Linked DNA regions of Caenorhabditis elegans. The gene in region 2 interacts genetically with the main gene of each other region. Each region holds a gene or a part of one and is shown on either strand. Other genes may lie near its edges.

Region 1 (11,137 bases), on a different chromosome or scaffold from region 2:
ACAAACACCCAAAAACTAATCCCCGCCGGTATGTTTCAAATGAAATTGTTGAACCCTAGACTGCTAGCATTTTAATCGGTTACTTTCTAATCTTCCCCGGCTACTTAAGAATATAATTGCAGATACAAATGTGTTGAAGAATACGTGACTTATGATCAAAATGGTCGTGCAGTCACATCTTATCAGGGTAATAAGTTCACAACAACTATGGAACCACCGGTAAATCATTTAAATTTTAAAAATAAAACCCCAAATATGAGTTTCAGACATATCGATCTTCAGGAGACAGAGAGATTCGTCGGAAGCCATCAAAGAAGGTAACAATCGCGATTCATCGGAATTCGGAAGAAACGACAACTCCGGTGACTGTGACCTCGACGCAGAAAGAAGAAACTACAACAAAACCATTTGATGAAATGAATGATGAAGAAGCTGATAGACTTATTGAGGAAATGTATCTTAAGAAGAAGGTGAGTAGACAGGCTAAAATTATAAGAAAGTGGGGGTTTCACGGAGCTAAAATATATATATAACCTTCCGGCCGATATGCCGGACTCTTACCACTTCTTTGCTGTTTGGTGGGGAAAATAATACTAATTTTGCCATTTGGATAAATTTGTTAGAAGTTCAATTGTTCAATGAAAAAACGTTTGCGTGTATTTAAACAGAAGGTGTTAGTGTAGGCTTAAAGTAGGCAGATCTCATTGAAGGAAGATCTATATCGAAGCCCTAATACACAATTAAAAGTTTTATTTCTACTTCCTATCAAAGATTTTTTCTCGAAATTAACGGAATATTTCTTGCTATCATCAAAAATTGAAGTGAAAAGTTTGCGTATAGCTATCCTTATTAAACTTTGACCAAAATAAATCATTACATCACTATTCCGATTGAAACTTTTTCCCGATAGATATATATTTCTCCAAAAAAAACGGCTAGGTCAGATCAAATCTTATGATACGTCTAGACGTTCTAATTAACAGAATCTAGTTGATCCAACATCGCACATTCATTAATATTATCCATCACTTTCCTTCTTTTTTCATAAATTTATGATTAGGTTTCTCTGTTCATTATTTCAAAACATATATCTCCAAGATTCATTTGACCTATAATCAAAAACGGAGGTTTAACCATAAAACGATTCAGGAGAGTCATGCAACTGAATCACCGGAAGACTCCTTGAAAGTACCGGTCGAGGTCATCGAATCACGCAAACCTCTATCTCCACCTTCATCTTCTGCAAATGTGTCAAAACAACGGTCCTATACAACGTCATCATCCTCTTCGTCAAACTCAGCAATTGAACGATACAACAATCAGCAGAATAAAATGTAGAAAAAAAAGAAACTATTTAAATTTTTTATTAAAATATTTCAGAGGAAATCAAGATAATGAAGAAGATTATCCAAATTCAATGTATCACAGAGGATCACGGAAGAGGCCATATGATATGTCTACTTATGATGATTATGACGATATTCCATTATACAGACCAATGAGAAGAGGTTAGTTTAACTTGAATTCAAATTAATACTAAATTCTTATCGGAAAGCAATAATATAAATTTAAATCGAAATATGATTACTTTTAATTAAATTTAAACTATTTTTCATTACAATATGGTCTGAAAGATTACTTAAAGATCAAATAATCAACGATTTATGAAGAAATCGAACCTTGATGATCGATGTATCCTTTTATCTGTGATCATTAAAATATTTATCTCCGCGAAAATGTTGCAAAGAAGGAATATAGTTCAACCAACAAACATTTTCTCAAAATAATAAAAGCATGAAGTAGTTACTGAAATTTTATATCATACGAAACATGTTTGGTCATACCCCGAAGTTCAGGAAAATTCCAGTGATTGCTAAGATTTTTTTTCCAAATTTGAAATTAGGTAAAGTAGTTTCAAAAAAAAAGTTGTATGTTTACACTTTTCCAAAGTTATCTTAATATTCAGAATACCGAATGCGTCGCAGACGTCCGATACTCTTTTCTGATGACTTCTCGGATGAAGCTGGTTTCGATCAACAAATCGGAAACTCTGATCGTCATCAAACAACACGAGATCTTTCTCCATTAAGATCAATGAAACGTCTTCGCCATCAAATTCCATATAATCAACCATACCGAGTACCTGGACCAATGACTCTTCCAGTCTCTTCGACAACTAATATGCTTCATCGTCCAGTTCCATTGCCCGGTGCCCCACAACCAATGAGAATCCCGCTTCCTCCGGGTGCTCCGATGCCAATGCCATTGGCTCCACCAGGAATGGCTTTACCACCTTCCCAACCAATACAACCTGTTCAACAACAAGTGGGTCATGATATTCTTAAGTTGAAGCCAATTCTACAATCGAATCCTCAAGAAATGCAGGAAGCTACCGCAGAGAGTTGTGCAAAAATAACAAAACTGGCCAAGAGTTTTAGTATCAAAGATGTCTCGAAATGGGCGAGAGGCAACTGTCCCTTCCTGCAGGTAAATTTTAAAATATAGAAATCAAGGCTGCCACTACAGGTAGGCATTTAGGAGTGACTACGTGCCTATCTGTTACGTATTTTTGGTGCTCTTTTGTGAATTCCTGTTGTTGGTGTTACAACAGAGACACATTTAATCAAATCACTTTTTCACAATCATGTTAATTTTCCTTATTTGCAGATGTATGCTCCAAACGCCAGCTGTGAACTCATATTCCATTTTATTGATTCTTGTAAAAGCAAGAAATTCTTCTAAACTATGACTTAATTTTTCTCAAAATGTTCTCTGTTTTCTTTGCTCTTTTAGTTTTGTGCTCATCCTACATTTAAAGACATTTCCAACCCATACGGGATCATCTCATTTTATTTATTTCCACAATTGACACTTTTGTCGTCAGATTTCTAATTTATTGTTTCAGGTTCCTCTCCTTTCCACCAAAAATGTATTATTAATATTATTTTAATAATTTATTCGCATTCATAATCATTTCATCAAATTATTTAATTACATTACAAAGTTCTCAAAACAGAAGATTCTAATAAATAATTGAATTAAAGATTTTAGAAAAGCATTCAAGAGACTGGGAATTTTTTAACCAAAAGAAATGAAAATTAAAAACTGGGACAGAAATGGAAATATTAATCAAACGGGTACGCATTCGAATGCTTAGAACCAATCATTGAAGTGAAAATATTGAAGCAATCATGATCGGGATCCTATTTCCGGCCGTTCGTTATTAATACGGAAAACCTGAAGATTATTAATGGAACTTTAATTACTTGAAACAATTTTGTGTGTTATTTCAAGTGTTTAAATTTAAATTCAAATTCAAATTCAAAATGGTCTCAACTATGCCATACACTTAACAGTTAATTCCATTACTAGATCATATGTTGAATTTTTTGTGTTTTTGTTTTAATGATTGAAATAGTCATATTTTGTTTAATTATTTTATAAATAGAACCGGATAAGACAAATGTGAATATAATTATTAATTATTTGTCTTTCATGAAGTTTTTTAATTTATCTATTTATTTCGGAAACAAATATAGCCTTGATTCACCGAAAGAATCCAGGTGGCTAAAAAATCGATTCTTTAATCTTCAATGGAGATACTTTAAGCCTATACAAAAATTGCTAGCCAGTAAAATTCAGTAGTCGGCTCAGTGGTGTACAACATTTTCAGAGATCTTGGGTATTTCAGCTGCAGTTGGACCGCACTATCGGAAATTGTGTTTTAATATTATATTTTTAATTTAGGAAAAATTACATTAAAGTTTAAAAACTCACTGTATCATACTCATCAGCTGGCTCATGCAAGATAATTTCAATCCAACACGGTAAATTCACAACTTTCAAACGGGAATACGTTTCTCCGAATCCTTTACAGAAAGAGACTCTGATGTTGGAGAAGATTCTCATTCGTTCATCAGCCACCTCTTTTTCAGTTAAAGGTCCGAGAGCCAATGTTTTCTCCTGTTCAAACTGCTCCTTATCGAATATTTTCATTCTTTTTTGATCTCCTTTGTTTTGCAACCGAAACACATATTTCAGTGGCTTATTCAATGTCTGGTTCAGGAATGGGCATTGTACAAAAACAATTTGGTCAGTCAGTACAGTTAGCCAAAGTTCTCCATTTTCATATGCCAATTGAATTCCTGCTCCAACTGTGTTTCGGATTTGTGAGCTTTTTGAATTTCTCGAAGATGGTTGAGATGTAAGCGACATTCGGCACTCATCACTTGCTCCAGTTGCACCATCGATTGTAATTGTTGGGACTTTGGCTTCGAATGCTTTTCCTAGCTGAAAATATATCATTGTTATGCTATCCGTTTTTTGAAATTCTTTCTCAAATAATTTTGAACTTACTCGAACAGTCAGCTCGTAGTAAAATATGGTACACCACGGTTTTTCTTCTTTTGGATATTTGGGTTCAGGATCCAACATCTCGTTTCCAGTAGGACGTACTTCAACTACTGCCTTTTCAGGAGTTTTTGGTTTCAAAGAAGATTGGCTTGAGCTAAAAAAAGAGGTATGTGAATGTGTATAACTTTCAAATAAACGTACATATTTGAAAATGGAAACGGATCATTATTTTCATCAGTTGATGTTGACGGAACATTATAGCAATCAGGCATTGGAGCATCTTCCAACCAGTCGTTTATTGGCATGTTTGGATTATTGATGCTTGCCGGTAAGTGAACTTGATCTGTAATTTTTGTATATCAGTTTGAACAATAAAATAAAAGCTCAATTCCAAATGTTAAATTAGTCAGAAACTTGTTTCCCAAGTGATTGTGATCACGGTGACTCATATGGATGATGAGGGACTTAAGCTGGATAATTTTCGTTTTAGAACTTTCTGATTCATATTAAATCATATGACAAACCGGAAATAAATCGTCTGAAAAACATCGAAATCATACGAAATATTTTTAAAGATATTTTTCATGTTTATAATTGTTTTCTAACAAAAAATTGAAGCATATTTATATTTTATGTGATTTGAGGCATTCTGAGATCAGGAACTGAAAACGTCTGTTTTATAAATATATTTTTTGCAGTTATAGCCACTTCTGTCTAGTTTTCCAATAACTTTGTCATGTCTACAATTTGACTCACCTGGGTACATATAATTCCCCGCAGCCGCCCAATTTGTGGGTGTTGTTGTAGTTTGAAAACTGAAAAGTCGAATATTTAAAACGAGTTAAGAAAAACACAAAACAACAAGGAAGTCGGTTGGCTTTGATATTAATACAAAATGAAATAATTATGAGATAATGAGATCCTATAAGGAAGGGATTATCTAAGGATTACGAATATGAGGGTTGTTGGTGAAATTAGCTGACGTGAAAATAGAGAAAAAGTCAATTGAGTGCATAATAATGCCAGAATACCTATAGATAAGAAATAATGACGTCGTATTAGAGGTTTTGAAATCGGTTCAGTTAAATTTTTTTGCTCTCTATCAGCATGCTATAGAAGGAAGATAGTTTTGGGATATTCATTTGATAAATAAATATAAAAATAAATGTACTGAAATCATTCGATTTTCTAAGTGAAAAACACAAAATCATTTAAAAAATATGTTCACTTTTTCTTCAGGTCTAGTTTCCTTATTGTCAGAGTCTAGCAACGTGTCGTCATAACAGGTGTATTAGAAGAAATTAAAAAGTCGACTAGACTTGTTATAGGGCAAGTCTCACGACCTTAGATTGTTATCTCTCATAAGAGTGTACGTGAAGTTGCCAGACAGGTGCTGTCTCGTTCTTGAAAAAAGTGTATTCAACTATATATCTAATGTTAGATAATGTATGATGCGGTAAATTAAATGTTGCTACTTAACTTTTTTTCATATTCGGGAACGAACTATGGTTCCTTTTTAAAAACTAGATCTGGCAGAATAGAACCAAATATAGAGTTTTTGAAGAAAATTGAAATAAATATATGTATATGAGTATTGGAAACAGATCAAGAACTTTCACCTTTGTTGACGTCAGTCATACTCTTTCTTTTTGGAATTGCGCTCGTTTCTGACATCAGTTTATAAAAGTCGACGGTTAAAAAAATAGTATTGGAACTAGAAGAGACGTGAGAAATATTTTGAGAACTAGATAGGAAAAACGAGAGAGGAGAGGAGCGAGAGTGAGCGTTAGGGTATGTATGTGTGTGTTTTCTGTCACAACAAATGTAAGTGAAAGGAGGAAAGAAATGGGAAAAAAGAGAGAAAAAGAGAGAGAAGAGAGAGAGAGAGAGAGAGAGAGAACGGAGAGAAATAGAGAACGAATATACTCAGAGCATCGGCAACACGTGAGCTTCTGCTCCTAACAGGAAGAAAAAAGTTGGAGTGAGCGCGTAATAGGGAACGATAGCACGTGATCGATAAATAGAAGGAAATGGAAAAAAAGACGAGGTTGAGAACGTCATCTGAATTGTATTTTCAATGACGACTACTTTGAATGAATAAGAGAAATGAACAAAAGAAGGTTAGGGAAAGATGACAAAAGGTTCGTTATTACCGTTCGGAAGAAGAATAGTTCGAGGAGGGGTAGTTACGAAATAAAATTCGAAATATTTTTAGTTACCCTCTGAAATTTTAATTTTTTCATCTTTCCAACAAATTAATGTTTTTCAACATTGGAAATTTCATTGAATAAAAATTAATAAATTTAAAAAAATCGATAAAAAAATCCATACCGAAAACCCCTAAAATAGTGTGACTCTAGAACACTGCAACGTGGCTCTGTCTACAAAGTGTGGTCCATCTGTTGCGCTGTGCTCAAATATTTGCCGATTGCAGGAAAAGAGACGAGAACAGTAACACGAAAAGGTCAGATAGATCAAGAAGATATTATTCGTTTATTGGGTTAAGAGATCAGATTCATAAAAGGCTCGTAGAGATAAACAAATTATCATAATTTTCGGCTTTAGATGTTTGTTTGATTGTGCCTGTTGGAGTCTAAACTTCGAATTATTTACAAAAAATTTTTTTTGAAAAATTTAAAAAGAGAACATTGTGGTTTTTTCCCTATTTTTCATCAAATTTTCCTGAATTTCTTGGAATATTTGGGGACTTCTTTCATAATTTTTTAAAAATTGCTAGGAATTGCAAATTGAGTAACAAACCACGATACTGAACTTTTGGGGAAACTTCAAAATGTAAATGAGGAAAAGACAGGGGCAAATACAATAATTGTGTTTTGATTCCGGTGAACTCAAGAAGAGCGGGTACGTTGCAAACTACGAGAAAGAGAGGTATTTATTGTTTCCGCCCCAGGACATCCGTTGTAAACTTTTTGGTTCAAAAGATCAAGACACAGAAATGCGTAGACAGGGCGGAGAGAGAAATATGCATCTTGTCTTATAAAAGTCGGAACGAGTCAGTCAGGTTAACAATATATTTCCATCTCACTGTCTACGGGGGAAGTGATAGTGTGCTGGACAAATATAAAACTTATTTGGTTTGAAACGTTTTGTTGAAGTTACTGATATAACTTAGTGGTGTTGCCTAATAATTGGAACATTCTAGGTTTTTTTTCAAGCCGAGAAAACAGTTCAATTACTTGTTTTTTGTAAAATTGAGTTTAAAGTTTCAATAGAGTAGAGCAGTCCAGAAAAGTCAGACAGATTTTTGAAATAAAAAGCTTGAATCATCAAAAATAGCTTCCAGTTTGTAAAACCCTGTCAACATTGGTATATATATTGGACTAAAAATAGTCAGTCACCTTTAATTTACTTTTGTTATAAGTTTACATAACTAAAATTGCATTGAAAAAAGTTTTGAGCGACTTTTATAATAGTTTGTTAACAGCCGGGAGTTAGGAAACTATTTGACACGGAAAAATTACAAATTATTTTTCATTAAAAAACAGAAGTAAACATAATTGAATGTGACTATTATCGGAAAAATCACGTGGTGTCAGGCTGTTCCATGTCCCATATGATCTACAATAAATGCGGGAATTGAGACGCAGAGACAACTGTTATTGCACGGTTAAGACATCTTGACACATCGTAAAAAGTACGATTATAAATGTTATCAGCATCACCCGTTTAAAAACTTACTTACCCAAACTCGGCAAAATCGTCCATGATTCCTAACTCTCCTTGGTTGTTAAAAAGTGATCCAAAATCTTCTTGTTCGTTGGACATTATAAATGTTTCTGCAAAAAAATGTGTGTTCGAAACAACAAATCTCCAAAATATAAACGGAAGGGTGCCGATTTATGGATTGTTTGAATAACAGGTAACAAATCAAACATCTACTACACAATTTTTGCACTTTGAATGAAAAAGTCAAAAACAATTGTGTGAAAAGCGAGACTTTAGATGATCAAGTCACATCCAAAAGTATATAGAAAGAGTAGAAAATGAGCAGAAAAACATAGAAACGCAATGACTCCATGGTGATGGTTTTATGTGAAGTGGCGTGACTAGGAAGGGTTCAATATGAGACAAATAAATACGAATTGACATTACTAAACGATGCACATCAGGTTGTTAAGCCAGTAATAGACCCAATTGTACCTTTAAAAACGACTAGAATTTTGATCATAACAAATTATTCGATAGTTGGACAACCCTCGATTGCAAATAATTTGGATCCAGTTTTGAAGATTCCCTGTAATTCAGCAAAATAATATTCTGTCAGATTGAGATTAATGGTGGAGCTTGGCCAGTAGAGAAATGATTAAAAACCACAGAAAAAGAAAAATGAGAAAAGTACATTGGTAATGTGAACGAAAGTTAAACGTTGAAAAGATAAGTTTATTTGACGATCAAGAAGATATTGAAATGAATGATCACGAATGAAATGATACCTGTTCGATTGAAAGTATTGTTTGAATTGTTGAATAGAATCTCTATGAAAGACTTGACACGTTCAATCGAAACTCTCATATTATACATTCGACAGAAAAAACAATTTTTGGTCCCTTGCAAATATTTAATTTTATTTGCAGTTTTGCAAATTACGGAGATGAAAACTGTCCTTATTTCTTCAAACAGTTTCGCAGATAATAACTTATTTATTATATATTCATCAGTATTCTTTTCTCGAAATGTACATATAAACCGGTAACTAAATATCGATATTTCTGTTTTTTGGTAACTTTGTCATTCATCACAATGGTCCACGTAACGTTTTTCCAACAGCTCCTCTGACAAGACTTCCTGCGTATTCCTCGTCAAGTTTGAAATATGTTGAAACTTTCAGATAACGATCGTGGAAAGTTAATCTGAAATTATAATAAATTCATATTATAGAGCTCGTTTCAAACTCACTTTGGACTCTTCAGAATTACACCTTGCATGGTTGGCAGAGCAATTCCCATTTGAAGAATTTCAGTGAGAAGCTTCTCTAAAAATTCAGCACCAAATAATCCCAAGTCGGAAAATGAATCTTGGTCGACATCGTTGATTTTTGTTTCAAGGAGCTGAAATATGACAATTTGATTAGCACCTCAAAACTGAAACATCCAGGCCGGCTTCCAAAAAAATAAATTGGTGACAATTTTCTTGGTGAAATATCATATAATCGCATTCAAGTCTTACCCAAGTTCAAATTTTTCCATCTTTAACCCAAAATGTTTTAAACTAGTGTGGAAGATTGGGATAGATTGGGCCTATTTACATTTTACGTAACCTCTTTATTTTACAATTTTGAGCTTTCTGGTGATTTTAAAGGCCTATTAATAATTTACGTTTCGATTAAATTACCATTTGTAAAAACACATAAAAACATATAATATTTGGCGTACGTCGTACGACTTGAAATTACATAGCTTCAGTAAGAATGATTCATAGATGATTGGATGAAACATCTCACCTTAAAATCCAAATTTTCAATCGTTGAGTTTCCAACAATAATTGATCCATTGATCCACAAGTTTACGTTTGCAGTCATTGTCGTGTCAGCTTTTAGGATCTTTACGAAAATAAAAGGAATTTCTGTTTCATAGAATCAAATAAATCAGTACCTGCTGTTTAACTTGATTTGGCTTCGAAGGTCTTACGTACATATTAAGACCTCCATGGAGTCTAAACCGAGACCTATCATCAATGAACACAATTAGTGGAGCCTGAAAATAAGTGTGTCAAATAATTAGGATCGTATATTAGGTAACCTACTTTCTTTGCGAAAAATTCAATTTCAACTTGTCTATCCGGGAATTGTTCTCCAAGTGTACCAAGGAACTCTCCAAGACAGAAACCAGCAGGACCACAACTTGTAAGCAAAAGTCCTTGAAGCTGTGGAGAACTTTCGGGTCCAACTGTGACGTCAAGGAACTTTTGACGATATGAATGATACAACATTGAATTAGCCAGATAATCACTTGCATAGAATTCAATCATATGAACTCCTGAAATAAATTACTTTTAGAACGGCAGTTGAAATAATTCATACCATGTGGAGGTGGAATTCTAACATTTGGTGGAAAGAAGGGAGTTCCACCTTGACCTCGATATGAGATTTCTCCCTTTGACATCATATTTACAGCACCATTTTGTACAAATGGAGCTGTCAACATTTGATAATCCAACACTAACTCCTTATCACGAAGCCGTTGTACGAAATGGGTCAAGGTGATATTCTTGGCATTCAGATTTGATAACTTTCCAGCCCGATGATGCTGAAATAAAGGTCGTTAAAATCAAAAGAAAACAGTTTGAAAGTTGAGCATTCGACTCTAAATTTTCTACTGTAACTCAAACATACTAAATTATCCGATAATTAGACAATTTTTCAAAATGTTGACTGATCTAAAAAAAATTTAAAGTACTTTTTAGTTATAACTATAGGTTTCATGGCACATTTTGAGTATATATTTCAAATACAATACAATTTATTATTTTTTTTGTACACCTTCAAAATAATTGGATTCAATCTGAAAATACGTGACAATATCAACTGGCAACTCATTGAAAGCCTTGTAAAAGATTACCACATCGCTGTCAAACAGATGGCAAACTTTTTTCAAACTTTCTTGTTTCTAATTTCCCTACACCCATGCAAATTTTCTAGCATCAGTTTGGTAATTCAATCATAAGGCTTCATTTGAGCTATCGATTGTCGTGGTTTTTTACGACTTTGAGCCTCTTGATCAACGTTTAAAATATATTAATGAGACATACCTCACCTTTCTTGGAG
Region 2 (10,639 bases):
AACCGAAAATTTATCCACCTTTTGCTAAAAATTTTTCCTTATCTAGAACATTTTGCCTTATCTAGAACACCATGTACATGGGAAATCCGTAATTTTCAAGTCTTAAAAAAGTTTAAGTGAAAGCTGGTAACTTTTCGGTCAAAAACTGAAGAATAAAAAAGTTGCAAAATCTGATCCATATTCTCACCAACTAAAAAATTCCTCTCAGAAACCTGTCCACTTACGATGTAAGAAAGAGGCGGAGCCTAATTTCGCTTTCTCTGAGACGTTTTTATCAAGGGCATTTTATCTGTTATCAATGAGGGGAATATTTTTGAAGAAAAATTTTGAAACCAGTAATTTTTAAAAAAGTGAAGTTATTGTGTAGGTACAAAAGTGGCTGTTAGCCTGCCTGCCTACTGGTCCTACCTCCATGTTTGCCTTCCCGTACCTGTCTACGCCTACATTTCTGCCTAGATTTGCTTACGCTTTTTAAAATGAATTGATGTACGCCGTGAACTTATGTAGAACTATGTAAAAATGAAATTTTAAATTAAAAATATTTAACATTATTTAGTTTTAACTCGCCAATTTATTCTGAAAACCAAAAAGATGACTAAATCAGAATCGGAAGAAGAGGACAAATTTAAGCCTGTGAGTTTTATTGGAAAGTTGGCACTTTAGCTTCAAAATGTCTTACAAGTAATCCTTCCTTTGTGCCAGCTTATCGTCTTGCTTGAAATTGCCTGCCTGCCTGCGTGTTTAGCCTCCCCGTCTCCCTACATATGCCTACCTACTTACTTACCAATGCATCCACCTAGGCCTTCTGGCTACTTTGCCGTTTTGCCTACCTGCACGCCTAGCTAGTAGCCTCATATTTTTGTGTTCTCAATAAAGTGGTCTTTCAGGGAACCATAATCAGAAGCCGTGAAGCCAAATACGTGATACTTAGTCAACTCTTTGACGGTACTATTGTTGGAGAGTACTTGGTAAATGATATCGCAAAAAAGCAATCGTTCACAATGAAAATCGAACAAACAGAAATAAGACGCAATGAAAAGCTGAGAATGGAGATTTCTGTTTTGAAATCGGTGGATGGCGGTGAACACTTCCAGAAAATTGTGGATCGCAGGAGAAAAGACAGAGATCATTTCTGTTTTTTGGTTTTGCAACAAGTTGGAAAGTCATTGGCTGATTTGAAAAAAGAACGAGCTGATAAAGTATTCTCATCTGCTACTGGGCTCGGAGCAGCACGCCAGTGTTAGCAGGCAATTGAAGAGTTGCATAAGAAGGGATTCGTTCATCGTGACCTGAGAACTGGTCACTATGCATGTGGACTTGGTGACAAACGGCATAACATTTATCTTCTCAACTTTATATTCGCGCGGAAGTATGTCAACTCCAACAATGAGCAGAAGTCCGCAAGAAGAGGAAATGTGGGGTTCAAGGTGAGCGTAGTATCTAACTCTATTAGTGAAATTGTTTCTAGGGAATTTCTCGTTTCGCATCGATTGCAAGCCACCTAAAAACTGAACTGAGCCCCAAGGATGACTGTGAAAGTTGGCTCTACACGCTGCTCGGCCTCATCCTTCCAAAAGATGTTCCATGGCGTGATCTCCAGGACTGGAATGAGATTCTGAAAATGAAGCAAGCATGCCGGACAACAAAGCGTGATAAACTCTTTGCTGGAATCAAGCAGAGTAGTGAACTCAACAAGATCCTCGACTACATCGACTCGAGAGTCTATCAAGATCGTGTGGACTACCAGTTCATCTACAAGCTGCTCGCAGATGCTTGTACTACCGCCGGTGTTGACATCAATGCACCGTATGATTGGGAGAGGGAGTCGGAGTAAGAAGAATCTAGTAAGAATACTACTAAGGGTAATAAATACTTTGTCCGAAGTTTAACTTGTGGCGAAAAGTTTTTGAAAAATTTTGACCAAAACTTGATTTTTTCCCCAATAATTTAGTAAAATGACACAAAAATGAGTTATTTTAATGTTTAAGCAGACACACCAGGGGTGGGCGGTAAACGATTTTTTCCGGCAAATCGACAAACGGGCAAATTTCCGGAATTGAAAAATTCCGGCAAATCGGCAAACCGGCAAGTTTCCGGAATTGAGAACCTCCGGCAAATTAGGAAACTGGCAAACTGCCGGAATTGAAAATTTTCGGCAAGTCGGCAAACCGGAAAATTCCGGCAAACTGCCGGAATTGAAAATTTCCGACAAGTCGGCAAACCGGCAAATTGCCGAAATTGAAAACTTAACCTGAGCACTGCAAACGTTTGAAAAAAAAGTTGAAAACTTCCGGCAAATTGTGAAACCGGCAAATTGACGGAATTGAAAATTTCCGGCAAATCGACAAACCGGCAAATTGCCGGAACTAAAAACTTCCGGCAAATCGGCAAAATGTGCCAAAAAATAGAAATAATACGTTCATTACTGAATGTCAAATTCAATTTGCACAAATAGATAGAAAAAACGACGAAAATAAAAAACGCAGTGATACCGTAACTGTTGCTTTGGGATGGAGACTGTCCTGAATCGAAGGGGGGAGTTGGGGGGATTTTGGCTACTCAAGAATGACAAAATACATATTGAACCGGGCAGCATATATATATATATATATTAACAGAAAAAAAGAAGTGATTATTAAAAAGAGGAATTTCGAACCGAAAAGATTATTAGAAATAGGTACAAGTTTTCGAGTAGCAGCATTTGGTAGAGATACATTGATTTTTTAAAGTGCGTATTTTGTTGTGGAGAGGACGGTGTTAACAACAGATAGGAATATGAAAAAAATGGGGAAAAGAGGTACCTAATAGTATGGCAAGTGGCGAGAGAGATGTGGGACAGAAAGAGAGAAAGAGACAGACAGAGAGGTAAAATGAATTTAAAAACAATACGACTAGCGTCATTTTCAATATATGTACATAACCGGGGTGGGGTGCAACAATTCTCACAAGTGTTTTGTACATGAAGGAATGATAGGTTTGGCTTGAAGGAGAAAGGAATACATAATGGAATAAGAAAGATCATCTAATCAATTCTTGACGGTGGTGGTTTTGATAAACTGGGCCAATTGCTCATAGGCACCGGCGGTGAGCTTCGGGTAGAGGGAGAGAAGAGCTGGAGATGACATGGCCGTGGAGAGTTGTTGTTTCTGGAATTAGTTATATTTAATTTCAAAATAGAAATTAATAAGCGCAAATCACAAACTAGTAGCAGTGTATTTTTTCTACACTTTTACGACTTTAAAGGTCTCGCTACGCGCCATCCATCGATTTTTGGAGCGCGTGGCGAGACCATTTTGAATAAATGCGCCCTTCTTTAAAGTCGTGAAAGTTGGAAAAAATACACTGTCAGAGTGTCCCATATTGGTTTGATCTACGTAGATCTACAAAAAATGCGGGAGTTGAGACGCAGAGTTCCCAACTGAATTCGCATGGTTAAGAACGTGCTGACGTCACATTTTTTTTGGCGAAAAATTCCCGCATTTTTTGTAGATCAAACCGTAATGGGACAGCATGTCACCACGTGATGTAGCTCTCATTTTCTAAGATCTTTAAAACGAGCCGAGATATCAGCTTTTCTGTATTTTGGAGTAAAATCAAAGTGTTGGTGTTTGCAGCACAGGTCCAGCGAGTGTGAAGAGACACAGACGTCCCGGGACCCAGGGCGCGGGAGCAAGAAGAGCCGATTTGTGTCGATTTACGGAGGAATGTCTGTGTCTCTTCAACTCTAGATCTACGAGTGCTTAAACGGGAGCTCTAAAAAATTCAACTCCCCATGTATACTTACCAAAAAATCAGAATTCGGCGAGATCGGCAACGCTGCAGGAATCGGCGTAATCACTGGCGCCGGCGTAGAAACCACTGGCGGTGTCACAATCGGCAGAGGAAGCTTGATCCCAGACGCGATCAGCTGCTGGGCTAACGCCACAAAGTTGATATTTCCCAACGAGATCGGCTGTACCGGAGCCGGCTTTGGTTTTGGTGGCGGTGGCGGTGGCGGCAGTGGCGGCAGTGGCGGACGGTTACACAGTACACGTATCGCGTCTGCCGAGACATTCTTGAGCAACGCGTGCTCTCTTAACACGAACTCCATTGGAGTCAAAAGTTTGGCGTCGCGATCGAGATTGGCGAATTGCTCGGCGAGCTGCTGGATTTCTTGTCGCGTGGCTTTGGAGGCATTGTCGAAGTGGCGCATGTTGTCGAACTCTCCTTTGGAAACGTCGAAGTTCGCTGACGCTCGACTCTTAAAGTTCGGATCCTTCATCTTTGCCTTCCATTCTTGCTGCTGCGTGACGACTTTATGTGTGAAATCGGACTCCTTCACCCACAAATTGTATTCTTCAGGCGATTTCAGGAATAAAGCCTCGAGAGCTGCATCGTCCATTTTGTTAAGCTGCTCGATGATGACTGCCTCAAATTTGTTTCTAGGCTTTAGGCCTTTGGATCCAGATGGTCCGAGGAAGTCGGCAATATGGAGATTCTCCATCTTCTTCTTGTTCCTCAACTTGCACTTCTCAATATCTGCATCTCTATCCACAATCTCCTCGCCTTCCTCTTCTTCATCAGCTTCCCAGCCGTTGTCCGCGGCCACCGGCACAGGTGTCTCCATAGCGGGTCTCTTCGGCGGCGCCTGATGCGGCGCAGCTTCATCGTATTCACGCTTGCCAGCTCTGTGCGAGTTCAGGACAAATTTATTCCAGGCTTCCAGGTTCTCATTGGATTTATCGAATACTTCAATAAGCCGAATCCACTGGAAGCTGTTACAGCCGGTGTGCACAAAACCGCTCGGCTTGATCGGATAGTGATGGTGCATGATGAAGTCGGTCGGTGTGAACTTTCCCTCACAATGCTGGCATTCGATGCATCGCATGTTCCGCCGATTCTTGTACCAATAGCCGTGTGTTCCACTCTGCATCACATCCTCCTCCAAGTCATCGCTCTCCAACCATTCGCTGCAGTAGTCGATGAAGTTGACGTGCACAACGTGAACTCGATCGGAGATGTCCCTGGAAATGGCTTTGGTTGTTTTGTTGGTCTAGCTGGTTTTTTTTGTCTTTTTTTTAGTTGAGTTTTTGGCCTTTTGACCCCGAAAACTATTCAGATATTCAAAGAGACTCGAAAGATGATGTCTCTTCTCTCTTTTGAAAAATGAGCTTTGGCCGAGAAATTGTTTTCTTGTCGGGCTCTCTATTTAGAGTGAGAGATGCGTAGGAAGCGCGGCGTCCGGAGCTTGCTTCTAATTAGAGAGCTGCCCCGGCCTCACAGGAGTGTTTATGCTAGTGGAACTTAGGCTCGCCACACTTACCAGTTGTCGTGCTCGGCCAACGTGAGCATGCTCTCCAGGCGGAGCTCGCCCATGATCCGTTCAATGTCCGACCGGCTCATCAGGCTCAGCGATGTGATGTTGAGGTTTTCGCACTCCTTGCTCTTCTCCATGACTGCTCGGAACTGGGATGGCGACGCCATTCGGATGTAGACGTTTTTGTAGCCTGGAAAATTACCTTTTCAGCAAAGTCCTGTTAAAAGGGTCGAGGGTGCCTGGTGTTCCCGAGAGAGATCATGCTAAAAGAAAAAAAAACTTACGAAGCAAATTCTGAAACGACATCTGATCCTTCTTGTCCTTCTTTGTGAGCATATCATCGAGAATCTCAATCGGCAGGTGTGGCTCCCCATCGATGGACAACGCTGGGACACGGACTCTGCAAGAATTTTGAATTTTTTTTTCCGAGGTCTAGACGGAACTAGTCAAACTAGTCGCCTGGATAACAAAATAAAATAGAGTGAACACGCTGCCCTATCGAAAACATGGAAGTGCACCATGTTTTTGTGGAAATATTTTTGCTGTTTTTTAGACGATGACGCCATTGACTTCTTGGTCTTGTGATTGTTTTTTGAAAATAAAACTACGCTACTAGGCTTGTTGTCCCAGACTTCTCGCTGCACCCCCAAAGCTTTACGCTGACCTTTGCTCAGGTTGAAGTGGCGGCGGGGCGAAATATGTGTACGTACAGGATGTGCTCTTTTGAGCTCCGACAAAATGTTGCAGGCTCCTTCTTCTTTTTCTTCTTTTTCTGCTGCAGCTACTCCTCACCCTCATGTGACATTGTGAGGGGCGCGCGCGCCTCAAATGTGAATGCATAATGATTTGGGACCCCTTGGCTAGACACTAGTAAGAAGGAAGAAGTGCGCGGAGAAAAAAGCAATGGGATAGAATGAGGAAGGGGAGAGATGTGATTTTTGGAGTCCCTCTCTTTTTTTTGTGTTGCTTAATGTTTTTTGAGGATATATGTCGAGCAGGTGAAATTAAATGTGACTCATTAGGGGGTTTTTGAGACTCTCGACATTTGGTTCTAGGTTTCGCGATTTTGAAAAAGCGAGGAGATTGAAACTCCGCAGAAATCTAAGCCTAAGCCTAAGCTTGAGACAAAGCCAGAGCCTAAGCCTAAGCTTAATCCTAAGCCTAAGCTTAATCCTAAAAGTCTATTTGTCAGCAAAAAAGAAAAAAAGTTGAAATTCCGTAGGAATCTTAGCATAGGACTAAACCTAAATTAAAGGATAAGGTTAAGCCTGAAGTGAAGCCTAAGCTTAAGCCGAAGCCTAGGCCCAAACTTAAGCCTAAGTCTAAGCCTAAGCCCATTTTTCAGCAGTAAAAGTCTGCTCACCCCAACAACCAAATCCACAAGAATCTCCCCGGATCGCTATACTTCTTCTGATGGATCACAATCCCATCGGCTCGAGAATCCTTCCGCTTCGCCGACGTCGACGGTTGCCCATCATCATCGTCGTCTGATCTCGTCTCCTCATGCAACGCCTTCAAGTTCGCAATCAATGGATCAATGTCCATGAGGTCTGGGGTTCGGTGCTCCGGCTCCACCTGCTGCGAGGAGCCGATCGGCGAGTCGGACATATAGGATCTGTAATAAGGAAATGAATTAGGTAAGGGTGGGTGGGAGGAAGCAGCGAAAATGCAAAATATGTACAGACGAAATATATATTTATCAGAATAACAATGATGTGGCATATTGACACACAGAACACAAATCACATGTGATGTGTGAGGATAGATGAGCTGGCCTGGCGCAAAAATCTGTGAAAGGTGTTAAATGAGGAATTAGACGGCGAGACAGAAACTCTGCTCCGCCCCAGAAGGCGTGTCTTTTTGCTGCTTCTCGTGTGCCCGCCGCTATCCGCCCATTTCGTGTTGAACTCTTGACCATCGACTAGCTGCGAGAGCACAAACAGACGCTATTGACACAATATAGTAAAATTTACTATGCCAGACTTGAGAGCCCGAACATTTTGAGTTTCGAAATGAAAAATAGGAAAAAAAAAAAGATTATCAGAGATCTTGGAGGATTAGGATTAACTACAATAACAAAGAAGAACACGAAAAGTGTGACGGAATTGATGAAGGTGGATATAGTCTTATAGGTCAAGATTTACATATGATCTTACACTTTTGAAAGTTACGAAAAAACATTGTGATTTGGAGGCTAGGACGTCTAGAGATATTTCCGGTAGTAGCCCAGAAATTAGAAAATTGAAATATGAACTTCTAAGAAAATCAGTAAAAAAATGTAGCACCACAAATGTATGTAGTCTAGACCCCCGAAGAAATCGGACGGACATTGCAACATTGGGTTCCTATCGCAAAGCCAAGTGGGCGAGAAAGAAGAGGGACAGATGAAGAGTGAGACAGTGCTGGCGGTAGTAGGTGGGAGGGGGGAGGAGGAACTACGTACGATCTTTTGATTCGTATGGTCTTGTTGGAAATGTGTTTGTATATGCGAAAAGATAGATAGAAGATGGGGTGGTGGTGGAGCAAAGAGCAATAAGTTGTTGTTGTTGCGAAAAAGCTTATAGCTGTGTCGGTGGCGTAGATACAAAAATGTTTTAAATTGGCAAAATGTAGAAAAAAATTTGCTGAACATTTTTTTAGTTGACAACTTTTTTATAGCATTTATAGCAATTGAGATATGGTGGCTCAAAGATGAGACAGCATAGAATTCAAAAAAAGTGCAAAAAGATTGGAGCAGTCTATCTCTACAGGAATAGGTGGAACACAAATTTAATCAACTGGCAAAAGGTAGAAAAAAATTTGCTGAATATTTTGTTAGTTAACAACTTTTTGATAGCTCACAAAGCAACCGAGATATGATGGCTCAAAATTGAAACATAGTAGTTTCAGGTGTGCAAAGATTGGAGCAGCCTATCTCTGCAGGAATTGATGATACAAAAAGTGATCAACTAAAAAATTGTACAAACTTTTTTGTTGAATATTTTGTTAGTAAACAACTTTTTGATAACTTTCATACCCACAGAGATACATTAGCTCAAAGTTGTGACACGAGAAATAAACTTTGGAAATTCAGCGCCACATGACAAACGTCAGCGAAAATTTGAAAGAACACAAAAAACACAATGGCATATAATTATCTATAGATATTACTGCCCAAAGCCGTTCAACTCAAAAAAAATTGTGCACAATTCATGAGAAATCAAGCCAAACAACTGGAAGCTTATGCGTTATACGTGAGGAACGCGTGAGAATTTTCGAAGCCAAAATGCAGATGTATTTTTCCTACATAAACATGAATTTTGAACACCTAATGGTTTTTGAAATTATTATTTTGCTTGAAAATAACAAGAAAAAAAAACTGCAAAAACAAGATGTGACTGAGGGATTAGCGTTATAGACGTTATCAGTGTAGTCTGTGGAAATACAGGAAAAAAAATAATCAGAGAAAGATGTGACTTGAAACAGTTGTAGCTAGGTAGGATTAAGAGATATCAAAAAAGTTACAACTAGCAAAATGTAGAACTAATTAAGGGCTACAATTTGTGAGTTGACAACTTTTTGATAACACATATTCTAGAGGAGATATTGGAGATCAAAGCTAGCTACTTTGAATCAAGAAATACCAAAAAGGTTGTCAACTGGCATAACGTAAAACAGATTAAGAGCAACAATTTGCAAGTTGGTAACTTTTTGATAGCGATTATGTTGAAGGAGATACAAGAGCTCAAAGTTATAGATCACAGAATCACTTAGCAAAAAGTTATCAACTAACAAAATGTAGAACTATAGTTCTACATTTTGTTAGTTGCCCACAATTCGTTAGTGGAAAACTTTTTGATAGCGACTCATTCTAGAGGCGATACGATAGGTAAACGAGGGCTTAAAGATTAAAGACCAGTGTGACACATTTTTTATCAGGAAACAAATATGACACTTAAACATAGTAATTATCCAAAAATATGGAGCTTGGATTCTAAGAGCAAAGTACACACACACACGGTAACCATGGAAATGTTCAAAAACCAAAAGTGCAAAAATGATGGGGGTCCATAAATAAAGAACAAGAAACATACATAAACAACATTCCGCACCGATATTTTCAAATACATCAGCGAGGAAAAGAGAAAAAGAGTGAAAAGTCTGGCGCCAGAGACCCCTCCCGTCGCGTCGTCTTCCACACAAACAGACACTACTAACGACTGCGACCAAACGGCGAAGCGCAAAAAAAAAAAAAAGACGGGGAGAGGACATGTGACCGAACTTTTCTTCCTCGCCGCACTTCTTCAGAGTCTCTCTCTCGTTTTCCATGTTGCTGTGCTAGCAAAGAATGTTTCTGCAGAAGAGGGCGCCGGGCGCCCGCGCGCGTGGATCGTTGAAAAATGTGGAAAGACGTCTAGACGCAGTTGATGGGCTGTCTCGCCTCTTCTATCTCTCTCTCTCACTCTCTCTATCTCTGTGCATCTCTGCTCGGGCTCCTCTTCATGATGAGGTGGGCTAGACGGCATCGTTGTGCACTCTCTCGCTTTGTCTGCTCGTCTATTTCTCGTTACGTGGTTTTTTGTGCTAGATGTCGTTTTTTTTTTCTTGCCGAGCTCACGAGTTCAAGCGCTCGCTGGCTCCGCCTCTGGCGACGAAAGGGTCAAAGTAACAAGTGAGAGTATATGGATAGGCGGAGTTCCGCCGGAAATCGGATTTTGAAGACGTGAGAGTCTGAACATTTTGGGGTGTGTCGATGCACCATGTTGTTAAGAGCTACAAGGTAGTCGATCGAGTGTGGACGAAAGTTTGCGAAAACTGAACAAAGTTTGACAAAAGTTGGTTGAAAGTTGACAAAAGTGGCAAAGCTTTTGATGATAAGTTAGCGAAAGTCAGACAAATTTGTCGAAAGTTTGCGAAAGTTGTCGGAAGTTTTGGAACAAGTTAGTCGAAAGCTGGCGGAAGTTAGAGAAAGCTAGTCAAAATTTGACAAAATTTGGAACAAGTTAGTCAAAAGCTGGCGGAAGTTAGAGAAAGCTAGTCAAAATCTGGCAAGACTTGAAAAAAGTTAGTCGAAAGCTGGCGGAAGTTAGAGAAAGCTAGTCAAAATCTGACAAAATGTGGAGCAAAGTAGCCGAAAGTTGTCGGAAGTTATGAAAAAGTTAGTCAAAATCTGGAAAAATTTGGAACAAGTTAGTCGAAAGCTGGCGGAAGTTAGAGAAAGCTAGTCACAATCTGGCAAAATTTGGAGCAAAGTAGTCGAAAGTTGCCTACAGTAGGCCAAAGCCCATGTAATTTTGCCAAATGTTGAAAAAAGTTCTACTCATGGTTCGAAAGTTTGTCGAAAGATGACGAAAGTCTGAGAAA
Region 3 (11,462 bases), on a different chromosome or scaffold from region 2:
AGACATCGGACCGCCCGGATTGCCAGGGCAACCTGTAAGTTCACTACCCATACAGTAAACCTGAACCTATTCCAGGGCGCCGGAGAGATCAGCGGCAGTCAGTCAGGCCCACGGGGTCCACCTGGCCTTCCAGGACCGCCTGGAGAAAAGGGTGATCTTGGACCTCCAGGGCTTCCAGGCCAGCCTGGATCCCTGGGTCTCCCAGGTCCACCAGGCCCGATGGGTCTTCGAGGCCCTCACGGCACAGAGGGAGAAACGGTAGGTTTGGTTTTTTTCTTTTTTCTTTTCATTTTAATTCAAACTCGGTGTAGTGGCATCCTGGTCCTTTTCAATTTTCTTTGTGTAGTGTGGTGTTTGGTGATTCATGAAAGCCTAACCGCAATGAGTTACAGGGAAAACAAGGGCCCGAAGGATCGAAAGGATATCCGGGGCCTATGGTGCGACTCTTTCAAAAAATTTCGTAAAAAACCCTAATAAAATACCAATTTCAGGGTCCACAAGGTCCGCCCGGCAACGATGGGGAGCCAGGAATCGACGGAAGGCCTGGTCCAGCTGGAGAGAAGGGAGATCAGGGAATACCTGGACTCGATGCACCATGTCCTACTGGGCCAGATGGGTTACCTCTGCCTTATTGTTCTTGGAAACCTATGGATGTAAGTTGAGAGTAAAGTTACCGGTTTTCTGAGTTTTGGAGTCAGAAAATTTTTTGAAATTCCCGAAATATTTCAGAGCAATGTTCGAATAAATTACGGGTAAGTTTGGAGGCAAAATTCTTAAATTGAAGTGCAGATTTTTTTTTGAACTATATATAATATTTCATTGGAAAAAAGAAACGTTTGATAAAAGTCAGAGTGTTCACTGGCTTGATAGAAACGTTTATAACTGGGTTTATTTTTCTGGAGAGTGAAACTTTGTACTGTACATCGAGTAATATGACTGTACAGTACTACAGAGGTCCTTTGGGCTTTTGACCAACAGAAATCGCAGGAATTTTATTTCTGGAATATGACTTCAAACCAAAATTTCCGCGTTTTCTATAGGTCAAACAGTTGTAATACAGTTCTGTCTATTATACCTACCGTACCAACCGTACCTACCATACCCCTCCCACTCCAAATCCTCCAATTTTCAGGGCAAGAACGACGTCTGGGAGCGCCGAAAACGGGCTTCACTACCAGGAGCTCAGCCCGGGAAAGGTGCGGAAACGAGGCCGCCAGTCACTGACTGAAGAAGCCTCGGCTCCCACTTTAGGCACTGATTCTTTACCCTCTATTAGTGGTGCGCCCTGAAATTGGAAATTTGTTAGGAGGTACAGTACCCCTCGCCGTGCGCTACTAATAAAGGGGTCCCACATTTTTTACACTTTTTCTTATGAATCTGATCTCTCTTCACTTTTTTTGCATTATTCTTGTAGTTTATCTCTCGCCCCGCCCCCACAAATTTTTTCAAATTCCACGTGTGACTCCGCCCCCATCCCCCACATTTTCTTTCCATTTTTCAGCGTCACAATCTCGTTATTTCTAGGAATTTTCTTATTTTTGAAGAAAATTCTCCGTAACCAAGCTCACAATCCTGGTGCACTTTTTCCGTATTTCTACAAAAACTAATTATTAGAGACGGCGGGTAAGGATAGGTCAAAAATATACAATTTTCATTTTTTTTCAAAAATTAAAACCATATTGTGCGCGGCGCTTAAAATTTTTTTTTTGAATTTTCGTAAAATTTGAGGCGAAATTGCAGTCCATCCATTTTGTGGGCGGAGCGTAGAGCTCCGCCCCTTTTGTGGCAATTTCTAAAGCTCCACCCAATTTAAAGCCCACTAATTTGAGTTTTTATGAAAGATTCAAATTTCCCACCAATCCCTTGTTCCGCCCGTCTTTGATATTTGTATAATTATCATGTCTTAAAATCAAATTTTTTATTTTCATTTTCAGTTTTTGCATTGAAATGTGTTTTCTCCTTTTTTGAAAATAGTAATAATAATAACAATAAAAACAAAATAAAATTTCAAAAACACTTGAAATCATGGTACAGAAAAAAAACAGGGTAAACTACAAACTACAAAGTTTCGGGGGAGGGTAATAAAGCTTATGCAGTACATACCTATCACAAGATTTTTATGTTTTTCTGAGGTACACGGTGAGGAGTCTCTTTTAGAATGATGGGGCGCCGGACAATTAGCTGCATAATGCACCCGCTAATAAACAAGAAATAGGTAGCAGACAGTTAGTGGTTGAGGAAGAGAAATGAGATCATCGATATGGGGGTGGGAGGAAGTCACGAGAGGTGATAAGTGTAGTATATAGAACATAATAATTATAATAATTTTGATATATTGGCGCCTAAGAACGAAGATAAAATGGGCTCTAACCAAGAAGTGGGCGTGACGAGTCGTCATTACTGGAAATGTGTCCATTGGGAGTTTTTGCAGTTTCTGAAAAAAATTAATTTATGTTGAAAAGTGTTCTTCACTTTAAAGGCGCAAAATTCTACGGTGGCGGGCATATAAACTATGCTAGGTTAGGGACCTGGACTTATTAAGTGTCCGCTACTATAGTATTAGGTAGTAGGTAGATCTGACCTTCAAGGTTAAAGATAATTTGTTTAGTTGGAAGCTTTTGAGAAAAGTTTCTAAATTCGTAGGGTATTTAAGGCACCAGATAGACATGATACCCAAAATGTTGGTTTTTTTTTGGTCCGGGCTTAGTAGCTCGGTCCACAATAGGAGCCTGATCAAAATTCTTACCCCGCCAATTTTCCTGCTCATCTTCTCGATCAATCTCCTTCTGAACTATCCGCGGAGCACCATTTGCCGGTGACTCGTCTTTCGGTTTCTGGGGACCCAAAATCTTCCGATCCTGAACTGTCACCCCTGCCGTCTGGGCCACAGCTTTTGCCTTCTTGTCCAGCAACAGTTGCTGCCGTTCATCCATTCGTTTGCGGCAAATATAGGAGGTGAAACGGGCGCTCGGATTGCCATTCCAGCACGTTTTGATAATCTCCATAATGTGTTTCATTTCCTGAAAAGTAGTTAGAAGTACTTTACATAAAGTTTATTATCTTACCGGATGATCCTTCCACAGAGGATTCTCTGTAGGTCTGAGCCTCCGCGTGCAAACCACATCAAACATCTGAGCGTCTTGTGGATCCCGATCGGTCCACTCAATATATGGGATCACTGTGGCCGCTTCTCTCGGCAGAACATCTCCATCTTCACATCTGCATAGGGTTTCCCACATGACTAGAGAAAATGAGTAGACATCGGCACATTGGTAGCTCTCGAAGACGGTGAACTGCATCGTACTGTTCAGGATTTCCGGTGCAAGGTATCTCTAAAAAATTTAATTTGTGAAAATTTTGAAAAAAGATTATAGCTAGACTTTACGCCAAAACCTCCGTCTTGGCAGGGTCTCGAGCCTTGAGCTCTCTGACTAAAATGGCCTAGATCCCAAAACTCACAACAGTACCGCACTTGTAGTTCTCATTGGCAATAATATCTGATGCCGCGTCTTCTGGCTTGGATAACGAGAGACCGAGATCTCCGATGGCACACGTCAGATCGTTCTTGACCATGATGTTCTTGCTCTTGATATCCCGGTGAGCCATCGCTGGCTTGTTGGACTCTGGAATTTGTATTTTGATTAATATATGTTCAACGACAGAGTACGTCTGGCCAGCGGACTCAGTTGGCGTCCTAGACTACTCTCTGAATAGAAAAGTTTCAGACACCGTTGGTCCAAATTTTTCTTCTCAGGGGCCTAGTCTAGGCTCCTAGATTTCTGAGACACATGTATATTGCACTTACCTTTGCTCCCTCCAATCTGATTGTGCAGGAACGCAAGTCCACTTGCCGTCGACCTCATCAAATTATAATACGTCTCAATGTTAACCGTATTCTCGAGCAGAAAATCGTGCAAGGACCCGCTGGGATGATACTCTGTCACCAGCCAAAGTTCTGTTACAAATCCAGTATCAACCCGATCACTTCCAATATATCTCAGCACATTCGGATGCCTCAACATCCGCGTCTCAAAGATCTCCGTCTCCTTGTGGAACGCCGGCTCGTCGAGCGCATTGAAAACCTTCACAGCGACCGCTTCACCTCGGTAGTCTCCACGTGACACGTTACCAAATCTTCCGGATCCAACTCTACCAGTTAACCTGATCTGTCCACCAATCGTGAGTTTGTGAAGTGTAGTTGGACCCATACCAGATCCACTTGTCTCCTCGAGTACATCAAGCATATCCTTCATGTTATTAGGCATGATTCCAGGAGGGAACGAGTTCCCTGCAGATGTGCTCATTGTGCTTCCCTGCTGCTCGATTGGAGCAACTTCTGGCACAGAACTTCCAGCACCGTCGCCCATTGTAACCATCGGTACATTGTTCTCCGTCTCGCGTAGAGGATCTCCAGGTTTTGGCTTGAATCTTATATACCAGTCGAATTTCGCCTCCCATGATTTTCTGGTGAGGAAAATTGCAATGCCCAGGAGCACGATGAACGTGAGCAGGGCGAGGATAGTAAGAATCAGCCACGTGGATGACTGCTGCGGGCCTGGCGCCTGAAAATTTGAAAATTCAAAATCCGGATGTCAAAAAAGAGATCACACTTACCAAGTGGATGATCGTCTCGTTCGCACAAAAATTTCCCTTATCACAGCAAATCCAGACGGTAGCGTGCGGGTCTTTCGTGTTGTTCGTGCACACTTTCGCTGCCGTATCGTGAAACTCGGTCTCGTCGGTCACAGATTTCTCGTCCATGCATCCGAAATGTGAGATTTCGGGTGACGGCCGAGCGCTCTGGTAGCAGCTTCCGTCCGTGTAGCACGTGTTCTGGAAAGAGAGGATTGGTCTAGTGTGAGAATTGAGACCTAGTAACCAAGTAACCGAAATTTTAGAAGAACCGTAGTTTTACTGCCAAATGACAAAAACTAGTCAAACTTATAAGGACACCTCTGGGGTACTGTAAGAGTACTGTAGTATAGGAGAAACATGTTTTTTTTGTTTTTTGAAGAGATTAAGGTTAGTAGAGGGATAGGGTCGGGTACTGTAGTAGTGTTGTAAGGGTACTGTATGGGTACTGTAGGAGTACTGTAGCTTAGAAGAAAACATGTTCATTGTTTTTTGAAGAGATTAAGATTAGTAGAGGGATAGGGTCGGGGTACTGTAGTAGTACTGGGGTACTGTAGGGGTACTGTAGGATTACTGTAGCTTAGGAGAAAACATGCTCATTGTTTTTTGAAGAGATTAAGGTTAGTGGAGGGATAGGGTCGGGGTACTGTAAGATTATCTTAGTCTTAGTCTTTTGATCTTTTAAAGAAATCGCGGGGAAAACGAAAATATTCACAATCAGATAAAGAAATTTAAAAAACCAAAATACAATTTTTTGTTGTTTTTTGGAGTTATCGAGTAATTAAATTATTCTTGTTTTTTTGCTTTGTCAAATACTTTGGTGACAGGTCTAATAGAGGAAGATGGTTGAGGTACTGTAGGATTACTGTAGTTTTGGTCAATAAGGATCTATTGCGGGCAAGGAAAAACTCGACCACATGGTTAAAGCCTAACCTCATAAAAACTGCGATCCGTCTCATTAAGGAACTCGATTCCAGGCACCCATCCGGTAGTCCTCGCGTTGCATCCAACTTCCCTTGAGCAATGGCATAAGTGTAATCGTGTGAAATTCACCTTGGTCACTGCAAGAAAATCAGAAAATCTTGTTAAATCCCTTATCACAAGATTAAAAATCCTTCCAAAAATAAACTAAACTTCAATTTTTTTTTCTGCATAAACTCACGTCCCCCGAAAAGGAAATTTCCCATAGATTAGTGCTTTCGGGGGAAACACTAAAGATTATAGGCTTATCACTGATTATATATATAGTTGAAAATCTCTTTTAATGTTTGATCGAACGAAATTATTTTGCTTTGCTACCGGGGGATTTTGCCCAAAGCTTCTTCTGACGATAAATGCCATCTAATTTGAGTGCCGGCGATTATTTTCTGTTGAGTCCAAAAAAACAAACTACCTTCTGCAAGCTTCAACGCCGGAATCAGTTTATCACGGATGAAGATATTTGTCCGTTCGTCGAGATCATCGTCGGAAGTTTCGGCGCCTGGAAAAAATTGAAAAGGGTCGTAGAAAGCTGTATTTGGTTAATTTTCTTGCACAGGTACCAATTTATGATGTGTTTGAGCCAAGGCCTAAATACTGATAACAAATTTAAAAAGCTCTCAACCGTGATGCATATTATTTTGGACTTCTGTAAATTTTGTACTCTTCTATTGGTATTGCACCCCACTAGTTTCCTTTGGAAGGGCAGGACTCGGCACATTTTGTAAATATCAATAGATAATTAATTATATAGAGAAAAAATTAACAAATTGGCAATTTTAAAATAAAATACAGGACAACTTAGATACTTATTGTTAGGCGCTTTTAAAGTTAAAAAGTGGGGTGCCTAGATAAGTGATGCGACTAAAAAGTAAAGTTTAAATTCCTAAATTGTTGAAAATTTAGTTTAAATTGCACCTAGCTATTTTCTAAATACCCACTAACAGAATAAAACTGCAACTAACATTTAATTGCATCAATTGCTCATTGCGCTAAATTTAATATTCACTATCAGCAAATCAGTTAACTTGTTGACTTTTTTGAACATATATCAACTATGAATTGCAATAAAAAATAGCAATTTCAAGTCACTCATAATTAAAGTGATATGTATTTTTTTAAGATCATAATAACATTTCAATTTTCTTCAACTGCGATCAACTACAACTAAAATGATAAGTTGATAAGTCGCATTTTGTATAGCTGAAATTAGGCAATAATAACTATGTAATAAGATTCTATTCTAATAGAAAAAGTCTGCAGCTAATCTGCAATAACATAAATTGCTTAACTTTGGGCTCAAACAATTTCCATAGTCAAACTAATCAAAATTAAACACGAATTTCTAAAAGCCAGCTAAATGGGACTAATACATACTTTTTGAGCTAATAAAAAAATAATCAGTGTTTTTTTCTAACTTCTTAAACGATATACATATTCGTGATGATAATTAGAAAATTTTTTTAGAGTTACAACATAACTAGATTATACCAAAAAACCTATCAACTGCATAAGCACTACGCAACTCGAATATGATTGGCTGAACCTGATATGAAAAACATTTCTATATATTTACTACTACATATATCAAACTTAACAACCTTAACTTGATTTCACTTATATTGGATATTGGATCAAATTTCAAATATGTTTAACTATATCTAGTTTGTCAAAAAAAAAAATAGAGCGTAAACTATTAAATTTGTGATTATAACTAAAAATTTATGTAAACCAGTGAGAATTCGATTTTAATTGCACTTTTTTGTTTAGATAGAACCAAATCATCATCTAGCTGCATAATAATACCTATATTAACCCAATTAACCCGAAAAATAGATTGATGACTTTTGCTATCAAACACCAAAACCTCAAAGTACTCACCATAAACCAGTGCGAGCAGGCAGAACACCACGTGCCGTATCCTCATAATTTATTTCCCAAGAGTTTAGTTCATCAGGAGATCTGGAAAAAAAGCAAAGTACATAGAAGGCAAAAGATGAGAAAAGAGATGAAGCATGCAACAAAACTATAAGAAGATATGTATACGTGTGTGTGTGTGTGTGGTTGAGTGTGAGGAGGGGGAGCCGGAGCACATGGAGAGAAAGAGAAGAGCCAAGCAGAGACGCAGACGGTGAGCAGATACTGACGAGCGGCTCACCTAGTCCACTATGAATGGAATTGAATAGAGAAGAAGAAGACGTTCCTTGTTTATCTTTTTTTTTTCGCGTTGCCACGTGACTTTCTTTTATTGTTGAATTGAGTGTTATTTTGGAATTAGGTAGGATATGAGATTGACAATGTATAACTCGATATAGAGAGTAGGATGGGAAAACATTTTCTCAACTGACCAACTCTTTATAATTCAATTTGCAATATTTTTAGTAGACATCGAAAATTTGTAACTATACAGATAACGTTGCACAAAATTTTTCAGTGAGGTTTTTGGAGAAACTACTTCAGAGTGTCTCATTTCGGCGTGATCTACGTAGATCTACAAAAAATGCGGGAGAAGAGACGCAGAGTTCACAACTGATTTTGCATGATTACAAAAGTGCTGACGTCATATTTTTAGGCAAAAAAATCCCGCATTTTTTGTAGGTCAAAACGAAATGGGGCAGCCTCGCAGCACGGGATAACGCTATTTAGAACTCTATGGACTGTGCTGGCTAGTAGAAAATAAACTTTAAACGGATGCATATACAGTGCGCCCAACTGCTATGGGACACCCCCTAATTTTTAGGGTTTCAGACACTTTCGAACTTTTTCATGGAAAACTAGTATCGGAATCGGATTCAGCATACCAAAAAACCTATGTACCTACAATTTTATTCTGATTGCTGAAAAATTGAGAGCAAACGAGCGAAAAGTTAAAAAATCGACCGCCCAACTGCTATGGGACACCTCGAGAATTTGGAAATTTTTCACGAAAACTTCGATTTTTTCGAAAAGTGTCAAAATTTTAAAAAGTTAAATAACGTTCATTCACTTGTTTTACCAGTGTATTTTTTGATTTCATATCATGGAAACAAGCGGAAGCATGAACTCTTCTAATTTTCACATTTTAGTACCTTTAAGCTCGTTTTGAAGCTACTGAGTTTCCAATTTTTACCAAACTTTCAAATATGGTAAATTACACAAAATGTCACTCTCTGGTGCATTTTCATACGATTCGGACTTTTTTGAACCGTTTTAGAGATGAATTTGTACTAAGCTTTTCCTTATTTTTTGTTTCCATAAGGCTTCTGGGCTCATTTCTGAGCAACCGATTGAGTTTTCGTTACGAAACTTTACAGACATGTTTTTCACAAGACAGTTATCAATTTTTGCTAAAAATAGCTTCTTAGCCTATATGTACCGGTCTACGCGGTCCTGCTAACTTTTCATAAAATCGATAAATAAATAAATTTTTGATTTTTTTTTTATATCCCTCCATTTTTTATATCCCTCCAGAAGCTAAAACTTCGCAGACTACAAAGACTACATAGACTACAAACTATGGACAAACGGAATAAGCGCTTTATATATAGTAAATGATAGCATAAAATCTTAAATTGCTTATACCGTATTTCTTCTATTAGTATGGCTGCAATACTATTTTTCGATAGTCTTCCCGCTTGCAATACTTTTTTTATTTTTGCCCAATAGGGAGTGCAATACTAATTTTCAGAACATTTTTCTGACTTTCAGCTTACTAGTTTTTTTTTTCTGAAAAAGCTCGAATCTTATGTAAAAATTCAGAAAAGGAAGGTCTCCGAGGGGCAATACTAATAGGGAGTGCAAGTCTAATAGGGAGGCCATACTAATAGAAGAAATACGGTATTCTCGTGGGTACTAAAACTATCAAAAAATTGCAAATTTAATTGTGGAAGCCTTGTCATTTAACAATTTTAAAATTTTTCGAACAAAGTTCATTTCATACTGAGAAGCACACACTTTTCACAATGAAAAAAAAGAGATGGAGAACACAGAGGGAGTGGTTCTGCAAAAAAATGTGTAAACAACTGAACTTGACATAATTCTCCATCTGTTGCTCCGAGGGGCCCTCACTGTCTGCGTCTCTGCCCTCTCACATGCACGTACACACAGTTCAAGTCACCCCATTTGCCATTTGAAGCGAGGAATAAATTTATCAAAAAAAGAAAGAAAAAAACACGAAAATCTGCCAACCGAAAAATGTGAGAAAACATGGCAAAAAAAACCAAAAACTGATATCTGATTAATGATCACTGACCTCTTTTTTTTAGTAACCATACACCATTTTGTGTGTGTTTTTTTTGAAAATAATGAGGGCTTGGCAAAAAACGGGACCGAGAAAAAAAAATCGGTGGCCGAGTTTTCTCTATCTCAGTTTTTGTGAAAAAAAAATTAAAGTGTGGTGGCCTAAGTTTCAATTTCACGGCCTCTTGGCAAAAGCAGAACTAGGCCACAGTTTGACAACCAAAAAATTCGGTGGCCGAGTTTTCTCTATTTCAGGTTTTTTTTGAAACTAATGTAAGTAGAAGTGCACCTGAAGGGAATTCTCAAACAAAAAAAATACAGAGTGGTGGCTCAGGTTTCCATTTTACGACCTCTTGACAAAAGCAAAAACTCGGCCACCAATTATTTTTGATTCTTTTGGATCAAACCTTGAAAGCGAAAAAAAATCGGTGGCCGAGGATTCCCCATTCGAGGCCACGTGACCAAAATTGTGGAAGTTCGGAAAAAAATATGTGAAATTTCTTTGAAAAATGTCATCGCCAAACGTGGCCGCGAAATAAAGTCAGTGGCCGAGTTTTCTCTACCTTCTTTTTTTAGGCCAAAATTATTTTTAAAGGATTTTTATAGCCGATTTTCGTTTGAAAATTTTGCGAATTTGGGAATGGTGACCGAAAAAAATTGCAAAAAATCGGTGGCCGAGTTTTCTTGATTTCTCAGAAAAAAGGGAGTGGTGTAAAATTCCACATGGCCTGAAAAAAAATCGGTGGCCGAGTTTTCTCTAGTTTTGATTTTTTTAGTCTATATCTATTTGAAAATTGACTTTTAGAGCCTCGGACAGCCGTAAGAAAAATATGTGGCCGCGAAAAAAAATTGGTGGCCGAGTTTTTTCTCTTCTCGGACACGGACCAAAAACCAAATTTCAAAGGGAGAAAACTTTGAAAGAAAGCGTTTTTCAAACTAAAAAATAAAAAAAAACTTGAAAAAAATCTAAAATATAAGTAGTAGGTTACCTAGTAACTAGTAACTTGTGATGCATTTTTTTGTTGTTGAAATTTCGAATAAAAAGATAATCGATAATTAATAGTTAGGTGAGGACACCTGACGAGAGATTACCAGCTATGAGAGAATTAGAGAAACCAAGGAAAAAAAAATTAGTTTTTTGAAACAACTGAAAAATCGATTATTGTTGAGCTGTGCCGCCACGTGGAAAACTGTCAGAAACCCCACCCCGGCGGGCAGAAAAATTATGAAAAGAAATAGAAAAATGACGATTTTCAGTTCGATAACTTTTTTTCAGAGCGTGGCGGGGTGGTGTGTGGCACGAGACGAGAGAGTGGAGAGCGAAGAGACGCAGACTGTTTTGGAGGCCACCGGGCGGGCGGTGAGGAGGTTGAGGTGGGGGGGGGGGGGGGGAGAAAAGTGATTCGCGGGAGACAATTAGGTGGTGGTGGTGGTGGACACAGTTAATTTTTTCTTGTAGTTTTGGCGGGATATCTGATTTTGGGGTACTGTTCTCTTTTGCGGTGGGGCGCGATTGCTGACCTGGCCGAATTTCAGGTTATTTTCCGATTTTCGAGTTTATGATTGCTTTTTTTTGTTCAAATTGCATAAATTTGTGAATATTTGCTCTGAAACCCCTAGTCCTCGTGGAGTAC

The links.
Region 1: of daf-5 (region 2) and daf-14, changing one suppresses a phenotype caused by changing the other (phenotypic suppression), as found in Caenorhabditis elegans (one study listed by BioGRID).
Region 3: of daf-5 (region 2) and daf-1, changing one suppresses a phenotype caused by changing the other (phenotypic suppression), as found in Caenorhabditis elegans (one study listed by BioGRID).

What each region holds. Positions count from the first base shown.
Region 1 is NC_003282.8:10,247,648-10,258,784, reverse strand, and holds daf-14 (Smad-related protein daf-14), read right to left. Parts: upstream 8,159-11,137; 5' UTR 8,140-8,158; coding exon 8,057-8,139; intron 5,169-8,056; coding exon 5,110-5,168; intron 4,697-5,109; coding exon 4,555-4,696; intron 4,508-4,554; coding exon 4,357-4,507; intron 4,291-4,356; coding exon 3,778-4,290; intron 3,238-3,777; coding exon 3,190-3,237; 3' UTR 2,933-3,189; downstream 1-2,932. Other genes in the region: F01G10.9 (aECM cysteine-cradle domain-containing protein), read left to right, coding at 123-219, 267-470, 1,150-1,334, 1,381-1,508, 1,967-2,487, 2,668-2,742; F01G10.10 (BPI2 domain-containing protein), read right to left, coding at 9,110-9,224, 9,271-9,422, 9,815-9,913, 9,966-10,067, 10,117-10,349, 10,394-10,619, 11,127-11,137. UniProt on the Caenorhabditis elegans protein: Probably an atypical receptor-regulated SMAD (R-SMAD) that is an intracellular signal transducer and transcriptional modulator activated by TGF-beta-like daf-7 signaling.
Region 2 is NC_003280.10:14,030,811-14,041,449, forward strand, and holds daf-5 (Ski protein homolog), read right to left. Parts: upstream 6,912-10,639; 5' UTR 6,905-6,911; coding exon 6,660-6,904; intron 5,697-6,659; coding exon 5,581-5,696; intron 5,487-5,580; coding exon 5,303-5,486; intron 5,004-5,302; coding exon 3,785-5,003; intron 3,147-3,784; coding exon 3,027-3,146; 3' UTR 2,410-3,026; downstream 1-2,409. UniProt on the Caenorhabditis elegans protein: Probable component of transcriptional regulatory complex with SMAD protein daf-3. Required to regulate entry into a developmentally arrested larval state known as dauer, in response to harsh environmental conditions.
Region 3 is NC_003282.8:128,526-139,987, reverse strand, and holds daf-1 (Cell surface receptor daf-1), read right to left. Parts: upstream 7,573-11,462; 5' UTR 7,538-7,572; coding exon 7,492-7,537; intron 6,113-7,491; coding exon 6,026-6,112; intron 5,694-6,025; coding exon 5,566-5,693; intron 4,834-5,565; coding exon 4,615-4,833; intron 4,563-4,614; coding exon 3,806-4,562; intron 3,624-3,805; coding exon 3,460-3,623; intron 3,333-3,459; coding exon 3,066-3,332; intron 3,021-3,065; coding exon 2,747-3,020; intron 2,435-2,746; coding exon 2,367-2,434; 3' UTR 1,907-2,366; downstream 1-1,906. Other genes in the region: col-99 (Cuticle collagen 99), read left to right, coding at 1-34, 76-258, 393-437, 492-653, 730-752, 1,133-1,289. UniProt on the Caenorhabditis elegans protein: Probably involved in a TGF-beta pathway. May be a receptor for TGF-beta-like ligand daf-7. Controls the decision of whether or not larvae enter a developmentally arrested state, known as dauer, in response to environmental conditions.